Schizosaccharomyces pombe: one gene and its partner. The protein of the gene in region 2 interacts with the protein of the main gene of each other region in a biochemical or structural test. Each region holds a gene or a part of one and is shown on either strand. Other genes may lie near its edges. The genes, in order: pkl1 and alp4.

Region 1 (5,695 bases), on a different chromosome or scaffold from region 2:
TTATTTTTAAAGAACAATGATATCTGAAGCTTTATCTCCATTCAAAATATTTCCTTTATATCTTTGAATATTAATAAGACATTTTTGTATTCATTAAAACGGTTTCATTATTTACGAATTGTTAATTCCAGAAGGATGCAGTTGAGAAGTGAACTAAAACAATATTTTTCATATCCTTTATTCAAAAAAAAGGTTTGCAATTCACTAATTTATATACTGAACCAAGTAGTTTTGTTGTATCAAAACAGTGAGTCTTTACTCAAAATTTCAGCAACACCTTCATTCACTCATTCATAAATCGATTTCCTAGTGTAGCTTACATTTCTCTGTTTAAATTAATTCGGTTTTATTTATTTCTCGTTTTTATCCAATATAGTCATAAAATCAATCATATCACACAATTAAAATATATTTTGTTCATAATATAGAATTTCAACGAACTTCGCTATTTCAGCTGACTTTCAAGGTAAGTAGAATGTCTCTTTACCTACTATCCTTTTACGTCTTTTTACACAGGAATAGAAATGGAGGAATTAGCTAAAAAATATCAGAACCTACAAACAGGTAAATCAAAACCTTCTGCATCGAATTAAATAATTAACGAAATTCCCAAGAACTAAGCACTTATGTCGAAAGTTTAAAAAAGTTGGAAACCCAATTACAAGAAAACACTACTGTCCTCAATGTACGTTAAGGCCACAAAAATTACTATTTTCCCTATTTTCTCCATTTATATTAGAATTGTTTTGTTAATGCGAATTAGGAATTGGAAAAAGTGGCTCCTGACTCAAATATATATAAGCAAATCGGTCCTACCCTTGTAAAGCAAAGTCATGAGGAAGCAAAGACCAACGTTAAAACAAGATTGGATTTCATTAATAAAGAAATGTATGTTTGTTGAAATTTGAAAAAGAAGAATTTCCTTGAGGTTAAAATCGCTCTCTAAAAATGCGAGTTGTACTTCTTCATTTGTATTATCGAATTGCGTATGTCATTTTATTAATTCATAATTATAGTGCACGCCTCGAAAATCAAACAAAAATCTCACAAGAAGAATTCAGCAAAGTTAAAGGTGCCATCATTCAAGCACAAGCAGCAGCTGCTCCACCAAACCCAGCATCTTAAATGCTTTGGTAAACATTTTTTACTCTAAAATAAGCTTAACGTTTATAATGTTTAATAGAACCTACTTTTGTATCATTGACTTTTGTTGCAAATCGCAGACTATTTAATGTATCCATGAATTGCGACTTTAAAGGAGACACATTAACAAACATCAGGGTTTTGGCACCTTTTCCAAGTGAATATTTTAACAAATAAGTTAGCTAATGTCTGGTTAGTACAAAAATGCTTTCAATATAGACTTTACACACTGCTGCAAAGCAAATAAGTAGCCACTTTGACAGTTAAAGAACGTGTTTCGTAAAGAACTTTTCATTCTAATACTCACCTTTGAATTTCGGTATGGTATGTGAGACTTTTCCTTCGTGGTACTATTTGAGGCATTTCCAAGTGCATGGATAACATCGCCAAGACAGCTGAGACTTTTATTAATAGCTTGCGTTTCTCGTAGTCTATCCCCAACTGCCTGACTGTAACTTAACCGCTCAGAACCTGCCAAATCAACTAGATTTAGCGTACCTTTACATATTTGTTTGGTTCTAGAATTTTCACCATCTATATACAGCATGAAAACAGTGTGTGATCTTGAAGACCGTTCATTTGCTTTTGTCGCTGCTATAAATCGATTTTCTCCTGCTCGATTTAGCATCTTGTAAACAGTATCTTCTTCATTAAAATCAATTATTGAAACGTTATCCACTGTTGTTCGTCTTTCCTTTTCATCATGATGAATATCGTGCTTAGGATTTTTCAACATTTCCGCTTTGTTTAATAGATCATAAATCGTTTCATTGTAAATTTCCAAAAACTGACCTCTCAATTTATACACCCACCCTTTCTCCCTCAAGGTTGATAGATAATTAAATATATGCTTAATTGACATCGCTATCATACCGTCTTGTGACGACATTGTGTACGTCTTACCCGATCCTGTTTGTCCATATGCAAATATACTAACATTATAACCATCAATAGCGCTTTGAATTAACTGTGATATTTCCTCAAAAACGGACGAGTTATCGCTTTCAGGAGCAAAGACTCGATCAAAGGAAAATTCATAATTACGATCATAAGTATGCCCGAGTGATGATTCAACATTAGGCCCTTTAAGAATAAGTTTTTGTGGCTCTAGTGCGTCTTTATCTGGAAATTGTAAAACATCAGCAATGCAATATTCGGATTCTTCACTTGGGAGTAGTGGTCTAACCCTACAAAAAACTCGAATATTTCCCTTTAGTTCTTGAATGTCGTTATGCAGCTTTCGTCTGATTATTTCTTCTGCTAACAGTTTATTATACATATCTTCATTTCTCCGTTCCAGCTGTTGGATTCGAGCTTGTAGTTCCAATGCGTTCTGGCCATTATTTCTTTCTTTATCTTGAATACTTGCAACATATTTAGAAAGTTCTTCAAGTTTTTCAGATGTAGAGTGGTGTTTATGCTCTTCCTTTAACAGTTTATTTCGAAGCATGTCAATTTCAGCTAACTTGTCTTCTAATTCTATACGCAGAGAGGAGATTTTTTCTTCATATTCTTTTTCCGAGTATGATTTTTCCGATTCATATTCTTTTACTGCCATTTCCAACTCAGATATTCTCCTTTTAAGCTTTTTAACCGTTAAATCATTCTCATATTCAATGTGGGATATTCGATCATTTTCTTCTTGTTGTTTCATTTCTAATAAGTCCAGAATTTTTTCTTTAAAACGCAAAATTTTCTCAGTACAAGAACCTTGTATCAGCACTAGAGCTCTCCGAAGTGATTCACAAATATTGGCATATTCATGTTTATATGACTTTACTTCGTTCTCAACAAAATCCCCAAAGGATTTTCGTTCACCATTTAGATTACAAACTAGAGAATGTGTTTTCTTTTCATGATAAAGTGCAAGTTCTTTGTGTTCTCGACGTAGCTTTTGGTAGCTTGCATTCGCAGCTTCTAACCTTTCCTTGGCTTCCTTCAACTGGATATTCGATATCGATAATTCAGAGGAAAGATTTTCTTTTGTTTCTAAAACTTTAAAATAGTTAGTAATCAAATAAAGTCAGCATAAAGACATGTATTCTTACTATCTTGCTTGGCCTTTTCTGCTGCCTCTCTGTATGATTGAAGTTGTAACGAATATTCATGATCCTTTTCAGCGTAAACCTGTTCTTGTACCTGAAGATGTGATCTAAGGTTCAAGTATGCAGACTCAATATCATCGGTTTCGTCTTTCGATAATAAACGATGTTCGCCATTAGATAGCATATGCAACCTTTCTAACTGTATAATATTTTTTGGTTTGCTTTTTAAATCTTTTATTCTCTTTAATGTATTAGAAGAAGCCATAGCTTGATCACTCTCGTAGGCTAACGTTGATTCGCATATTGTTTTATGAGATTCAATGAGATCTTTTAATTGAGGCAGCCAACTCTCTTTAAATTTGGAAACAGATTCTTCGTAATTAGATTCATGAGTAGAAGCAATTGGCGCTGTGACTACAGCGGCCTTGTCTCGATTGCTGTCCCTCTTCTTGCCATTAATGTCGCTTTGTAAAACGTGATTTTTTGATACGAAATTTTCGTATTTCAAATCATGTACTGCATCCTCTTGATTTGTTTTAATAATTTTTTTTGGTCGATATATTAAGTCCTCAGAATCTGTGTTTAAAGCATCTTCCTGTCGTTTATACCCTGTGTTTATGGAAATGTCCTTTGTATTCTTTCGCATTAATAAGATAAGTTACTCAGAAGTACCTCTTACCTCAATTACCATCTATAAGTTAAAAAGAGCGTTTTATAGAGTAATTCTTCCCAATACTATAAACACGAATTTATCAGCTCGACAAAACAGATTTTGATTAGCAGATGCTTTAAGAAACGTAAAACTATTTTACGTGGGTTAAATATGAGTGTTAAATTGTTAAGCAAATTCCAATGCTACGCATCATTATATGTCTCAAGCCTCTCGTGTATATCCATCTATGTTATTAATCAATGGTGTATAGAATACAATTGATTCCATTAACAAATAGTACTTAAGTAATATTATTTATATTATGTAATTCCACATTCCCTGATTGATTTTTGGAATATCTCAAACAAATTCAGTGTATCCTTACGTGTCTTTAAGTGAATTACAAAGTCCGCGGAAATGTGTAACACTACCTAAAATTTCGGTGAGCTTATATTACGATTTGCCATGTAGCGGTAGGTTGTACGTTTAACTAACAATTGTTACTTTTATTACTTTAAAGAAGTCTAATAGTGTCCAGTCAGCGATCTAGCTAACGACTAAACTAAAGGAGCGAGGTTCAGTTGTAGCTTTATTTAAAATGTCTCGATTAATTTATATCAATTGGAATATATTTAGATAGATGGAATTTTATCCGTAACTATGAATAAATAGATCTTAACTACTATTCTAGCAGGCGATATTTAGTGATACGAAACGATGTATATTATAGCGTAGTGTAGAATTGCTGACACCCAAAAACCTTTAATGTATTATGGTGTTTTTTATAATATCCATCGCTATAACTCTTAAATCAGTAGCCTGAAACTTAGCTTTGACCAATGTCTACGATCTTAAATTCAACTTAATAGACAAAATAAATGAAGATATGGAATAATTTGTTTTGTATATAATGAGTATAGAGTTTGTCGGATGGTTAAATACATATTACGTTGGCATTGATCAGAGTTCATATGAAGCTAGTAAGCTTCCAGGTATTCGAAATGTAAAAGGTGGAATTCATCTTTTCACTTGGTCTCCAACATACCCTGCTGGATTAATTTCTGGAGTTTTTGCTATGGTCCATGAAGATATGAAATATAGTATCGACTTTGATTCGAAATCTGAAACAGCTTCTTTGCAGAAGCTTGATGTATTATATGACGAAAACTTTTATCCCTTTGAATCAACAAAGGATTGGGACTTGTTGACGAAGTTCATTACAGTTCAAGATCTTCAAAGAATTTTTGCTACTGAAGGTGAATTTTTCTACTTAGACACTTCAACGTATGTCAACGCTGATCTTGTGTCACAAGATCCGGAATTCTCAAAACCCTCTCGAGACGATAAACTATTAAATTTCGCTGAATTCAATTTACGACGAAGCTGGTCGCCGTCTGCCACTGGACCTGAACGGTCTAAGCAAGCAATTGATAAATCGTTTTTGTTTCAAAGACTCGTCCAAAGCGTGTGGAATGACAATCCCATCTCTGCATTAGCGGAATTATCAATTTCCTTTCTGAGCTACTCTATTCTCTCCCACTATGGTGCTTTGGAGCATTGGAAGAATATGTTGAGTTTGCTATTGCAGTCTTATGAATTGGCGGAAACTGAACCAGAGTTTTACGCTTCCTTTTTGGAGCTTTTCAAACTTCAGCTTAGCTCACTAAGTGAATCCGACTTAGAAACGTCTGCCATTTTTGAGAAAGGCGTTTTACTATCTTGCCTTGATAGTCTAAGTGAAAGGAAAGTGGATGGTAGCTTTGGTTCTCTAGTAAACGAAGCGATAGAAAATCTCCTAAAAACTATTTCTGAGTTATTGAATTCTCATGAAGAACAAGCCGGTTTAATGCAGAAA
Region 2 (5,790 bases):
TTTTTTTGTTTTGCTATTTTGGTTCTCATATTTTTTATCTTTAGTTCTATTTCTATTCTATTTGTTCTCTTCTATCCTTTCTCATCATTAGTCAGATAAAATAAAAATCTCTCAATTCAAATATTTCGATTTCAATACATTCGGCTTAAAATGTTTCATTCGGTTCGAAATGCTCTTTTATATTCCGTTCCTTGTTATCTTCCCCTTTATTTCATCTTAACTTACTTATCGTGTCCATTTGTAATCTGTAAAGTATATTTGCTAGTTTCTAATTATTTCTTTCTCCCTCTCTCTGTTTCTCTTGTTTCCTCTTACATGGTGGGGGATTGATAATTTTGGGCAATCCACTGTGAGATAAGTTTTCGTTTTTCTTACTCCTTGATGCGATAATTCTAAAGTCATATGATTCCTTTGCCTCACACCCAGCTATCGCCCCCATACTTAATCATACAATCTGTACTCACTTTTCATAGTAACTCTATCCTTTCGTAATAACCATCCTACACTAATCTAAATTGACGTTTTCCTTCGATATTACAATTTTTGTATGCGCTTTACTAGCTTACCTGTTCCTTTGTTTACGCATCCATTAAACTTTTAACTGCAAAATACAATTACTAGAAATTCATTACGAGTGCACACAAATGAATAGTTTTGCGTATACAATACTATAACCACCTAAATTAAACCTTGGTTTGGTTTTTATATACATACATCATCATCATTACTGTCGTAGCAACTGTACTTCTTCACATAACAAAGTTCATTACTATAGCTGTCTATGGTACAAACGTTAGCATACATTGTATCACTTCAAAATCAATCGATAGCTCTTTAGACTAGGAACAAATGCTTAGCCTCTCTCTTCGTTCTTCCTCAATCACGCGGCATACTGCCGACTTGCCTTAAATTTAGCGACATAGCTAATAAAAAATTAGCGATCAAAAATCCAAGTTACCATTCCTCAGGCATTATCAGCAAACCCTGTTTCAGACATTTTAAAAAATCGATTATTTTTTATATAACACAAGTGTTGGCATATTAAACGCTCGCCATGCCTTTCTCCATAATCATTCTTAAATTCATGGCCAATGGCAGTCGTCTTTTTGTCAATTTTTAACCGAATAGTGCAGTACGCTTTTAGTGTGACAACTGGCCAAAAAAAAGTCCAAACTACTGAAAATGGACCAATGTATACTGCGGATAAGCAATGCTTGTTTATGAAGATAATTGGCCATTCCGCAAGATCCTCACTCCAAGTCATTTCTTTATTAACGAGTACAAGCAACAAGATGTCAAAGATAAGGTTATCCAAAAACCGACTATATAAATATCCATAAAAGTTTTTCTCCCAATTTCCATTGCTGTTTGTCAGATGTTTCTTCATATCTCAATAAAACAATAGTAACGTTGTTCCATTTGTAGTTTTTCTACCTTGCCTTGTTTTATCTTGTCTCTTCTTAGTTATCCCGTCAATTTCATTACTAAACTTAAAAGAGCCGCCGTCTCAGTACTTGCAAAGTAGTTACAAGCATTCACTAAGGATTTTAAATGACGACTAAAACTGTCTTCGTACCGGCGTAAAATTTCTTCCATCTTATCCATTCTTCCTTCATCAAAGCTTTCTTCGGAATTCTCAAGCAAATATAAGGATCGGGTAAACGTGGAAGTATAAGAGGCAAACATAGCACAAGTATTAAGTAATTTAGATTGTACTTTAAGTAATCGCGAGTTAGTAAGCATGCATTCTTTTAGACACGTATCCAAAAAATCGATATGCTCCTGCATTAAATTATCCACAGTTCGGGCGTTCTCAAGTTCTCCCATAAATTTCCCCCAATGTGTTTCAATCACCTCACTTGTAGTATAGTAGATTATTTTTTGAACAAAACTAAGCATTCGTGTCCTTAATAACCAGCTGTTCCTTTTCCATTGTTCGATTTTCGCATTGGAGGAATTGAGACGCCAAGCACTATTCTTGCTGTGCTGCACCCAACTATTCTCAAGTTGCATTTCAACGTGACGAAGTAAAAGAAAATATCTGAACAAAAGTTGATATCGAATAATAGCTTTGCGGGATAAAATAAGTGAAAGGGGAAATGGAACTTTATAGCATAGTTGCATCGTTTCAAATCCATTAATATCTTTATCGCTACCAACTTTTGAAGTCCCCTGTGTGCTCCGATTGTGTTCACTCTCAAAATTTCGAGTTTCATTGCCCACATCCGCTTGCTTCGTGATTGATTCATTCCAAACTTCGTTTCCCTGAGATGATGTTCCTTCTTCCAAACCACTGATACTTACAATATGCATGAGCCAGTCTATTAATGATGTTTGATTCACTTCTACAGTCACGTATTCTTTATGTGGATCAGTCGCAGTTATCGTACCAGGCTGACGAAGGGCTAAATCTAATTGCGACTGCAACTTCGTGATAGATATATACTTTGCAGGTTTTCGTAGCTCGTGTTGAGCATTGTCAAGAAATGTTGTAAAAAAGTCAGATTGATCAAGGAAAAAATAATGTTTGAGCGAGTACAGATGAGCGTAAAGAGACTGTGAAGACTGGAGTAATTGCAAGAGAGATTCATTTGCATAAACATAGGCATTCATGATATTTAAAGTAAAGTTATCATCATCGAAGGTTGAAGGCCAGAGCAACTGGTTTTGAGTATCGTCTTTTGCATTTAACGAAGCCAGGTTATTAACTCCCTTCCTACACTCTAAAACGACGTTCAAATACTTGCCTGCAAAGAGTACCTTGTTTTGTAAATCAAGCAATTGTGGAGGAACTTGATCCTCTCGAATCACGTATCGTTTTTCCCAATATTCATCTGTGTAGTCTTCATCAAGTTGCATAGATGTGATTCCTTTGTGTATTTTTATCATAAATTCATCATATGGGTCATTTACGAGCCCGAGATGGATCCACTCATTCAACATTTTTGTATAAGGGCGTGAAGCTTCGCGCAATAAATAGGTTAGGATTTTTCGTGCCACAGGATCACCCGCATATTTCGTAAGACTTTCGGTCAAAAAAGAAATGACTTGCCCACCTTTACAAACCTTTTTCTTAGACCTAGTGGCATTAACAACATGTGAAATGTCATTTCCTTCATTAAGTTGCTCTAAAAGATCGTCGATGTTACTAAGACCTAAATCATCGCTGCTGGAAGCATTCTTTTCCATAGACAAAAGCAGGTCACGTAGAATTAAATACACTTGTCGTAATGAACGCGATGTGGGAAGAGTATAAAGGCGAAGAGTTTGAAGAGAAAAATTTGGATCAATTCGGCTCTGATTTTCACACTGCATGATAAGTACCACGTAGTCCATCACAAACTTTCGCAAAGCAGCGCACAATGCGTGGTTAACAAATCCGTATTCAAAATGGCTTCTCGATTCTATAAAAGCTGTGATACTTAAATAATGAGACCCCATCTCTAACATCTCAGAAGCAATATCCTTTATACCTAAATCAAATCCAGGAAGAATATAAAACGATGGCGGCATAATAATGGTTTCAAACTCAGAGGATGCTTTCATGTCTTGGAGATGTACAAATACACCCTCCATGCCCATAAATGCATTTAAGAGTTCGTTTATGAGACATGCTTCCTGCTGATGGATATTTAAGTTCGAAGGATCGCTAAAAGTCTTCCCATCGTAAAGATAATTTAATTGAATCCTATCAGAAAATGGAGAAACACCTTCACTCTTCAAAGAGACATGATAAACGCTCCCTTCCTCGAGAGCTGGAATTGGACTCCCATTCTCGCTTTCTTCTTTAGCAAGCACCGAACTAATCGATCTCACCATTTAAAGAGTCTTTTTTTATATAATCTACAAAAGTGTGAACATTTATTTAATATTTAGTGCTCTTTGTAATTATTATTCGGATATGCTTGTTTACCAGCAGGCCAGTTTTAAGATGTAGGTTGGTAAGTATGCGCCAGCTAACAATCAACGCAATTTCAAAGCAAACCAACTCAGGTCCGTGTAGCATTAAAAAATGCAAAAAAGTATAAAAAAAATTAGTCAAAAAATACATAACTAGAAGACTGCAGCATTTTCTATTGTAAGACTACCGTAAACTCAAAGGACCCCAAATACTCATTCGAGTATATATGGATAGCAGTAGACAGTGACAAATTCTATATGCTAGAGTTTATTTTGAATGGATAAAAATTTTAGATCCTAAGCTTGAGGGATTTATTCCCTTCATCTTTTTTTTTTTTTTTTTTTTTTTTTTTTTGTTGTGTTTAAATTTTTTATTCTAATGCAGACTACTTCGCTTTATTTACTAGCCAGTAGGTAATATTTGCATAATAAAAGCAATAAATTTAGCTCGGTTTTATGTTAATTATACATTTACTTGTTATTTCTTTAACAAAATAAATTTTTTCAAAAATACATATAAGCATCAATGATTTATTTACAGATAAAATGCTTTTCTAGGGAAGCAAGGATTTTGTAGTCGCATGAAGCTGGTGGTGAAATCACAAACATTACATCTATCAAAGTGTATATTGGTTGTAAAATCTCGAGTTCATCTTTTAAAAAAATAAATACAAAAAAAAAATTTATTGGTAAATGCACATACATTAAATTACTACCTCAATGCTTTATGAACATGAAAAATCCATACACCTAATCACAGGCATTCATCTGCTATACACTTATTCCGACGACCTCTTTGTTACTATATAATATTATGATTAGGAATTTTTTAGCGATATATCAATAAAATGGTTTAGCGAGATATACAAGCACTTTTCACTTTTAGCTTAAGCTTCATTGTGGCTTTTGCTCGTTTTACATCATGTCAGGTTACAGGAGGTAACGACCTGCATTGATACCTTGAGCATGTAGGAAACTGAATATCCAACAAAGAAAGAGCATAATAGCTACAGTCTTGAGCCCACCCCTTTAATATCAAATTATAACGTGTAAAATGGTATGAATAACTTTTTTAATTAATCAAAAGCATTCTTTTGTATGAAAATACTAATTATGATTCATAGACTGGTGTTCATGAAGGGACTGTGTTGGTTACTGGCGGCGCTGGTTATATAGGTTCTCATACGGTACGTAGAGAGCTTGAAGATACAGAAGAGGATTAGTAATGTACATGTAAATGTTTTAAGCACGCATCTTTTGTGAATATAGCTTGCTGCTCTTTACTTTTATACAATTTCGTCCATATTCTATAAAGCTCTTTTTTGAGATATTTTGCTAACCACAATCTGCAATAGTGCGTTGTTTTGTTAGAAAAAGGATATGATGTTGTAATTGTCGATAATTTATGCAATTCTCGCGTTGAAGCCGTGCACCGCATTGAAAAACTCACTGGGAAAAAAGTCATATTCCACCAGGTGGATTTGCTTGATGAGCCAGCTTTGGACAAGGTCTTCGCAAATCAAAACATATCTGCTGTCATTCATTTTGCTGGTCTCAAAGCAGTTGGTGAATCTGTACAGGTTCCTTTGAGTTATTACAAAAATAACATTTCCGGTACCATTAATTTAATAGAGTGCATGAAGAAGTATAATGTACGTGACTTCGTCTTTTCTTCATCTGCTACCGTGTATGGCGATCCTACTAGACCTGGTGGTACCATTCCTATTCCAGAGTCATGCCCTCGTGAAGGTACAAGCCCATATGGTCGCACAAAGCTTTTCATTGAAAATATCATTGAGGATGAGACCAAGGTGAACAAATCGCTTAATGCAGCTTTATTACGCTATTTTAATCCCGGAGGTGCTCATCCCTCTGGTGAACTCGGTGAAG

What was found.
Region 1: the proteins of alp4 (region 2) and pkl1 interact in a test that uses a peptide from one of them, tested with the Schizosaccharomyces pombe proteins (one study listed by BioGRID).

Annotation. Positions count from the first base shown.
Region 1 is NC_003424.3:3,437,117-3,442,811, reverse strand, and holds pkl1 (kinesin-14 family minus-end directed microtubule motor Pkl1), read right to left. Parts: upstream 3,923-5,695; 5' UTR 3,880-3,922; coding exon 3,868-3,879; intron 3,830-3,867; exon of another isoform or gene 3,826-3,829; coding exon 3,192-3,825; intron 3,139-3,191; coding exon 1,451-3,138; intron 1,326-1,450; coding exon 1,161-1,325; 3' UTR 1,126-1,160; coding exon of another isoform or gene 1,017-1,125; 3' UTR 889-1,016; coding exon of another isoform or gene 764-888; 3' UTR 695-763; downstream 1-694. Other genes in the region: pfd6 (prefoldin subunit 6), read left to right, coding at 525-564, 615-685, 764-888, 1,017-1,125; U5 snRNP-associated protein Aar2, read left to right, coding at 4,751-5,695.
Region 2 is NC_003423.3:2,522,090-2,527,879, reverse strand, and holds alp4 (gamma tubulin complex GCP2 subunit Alp4), read right to left. Parts: upstream 3,820-5,790; coding exon 1,465-3,819; 3' UTR 746-1,464; downstream 1-745. Other genes in the region: UDP-glucose 4-epimerase Uge1, read left to right, coding at 4,955-4,957, 5,025-5,087, 5,256-5,790. UniProt on the Schizosaccharomyces pombe protein: Component of the gamma tubule complex that is required for the regulation of both interphase microtubules and mitotic bipolar spindles.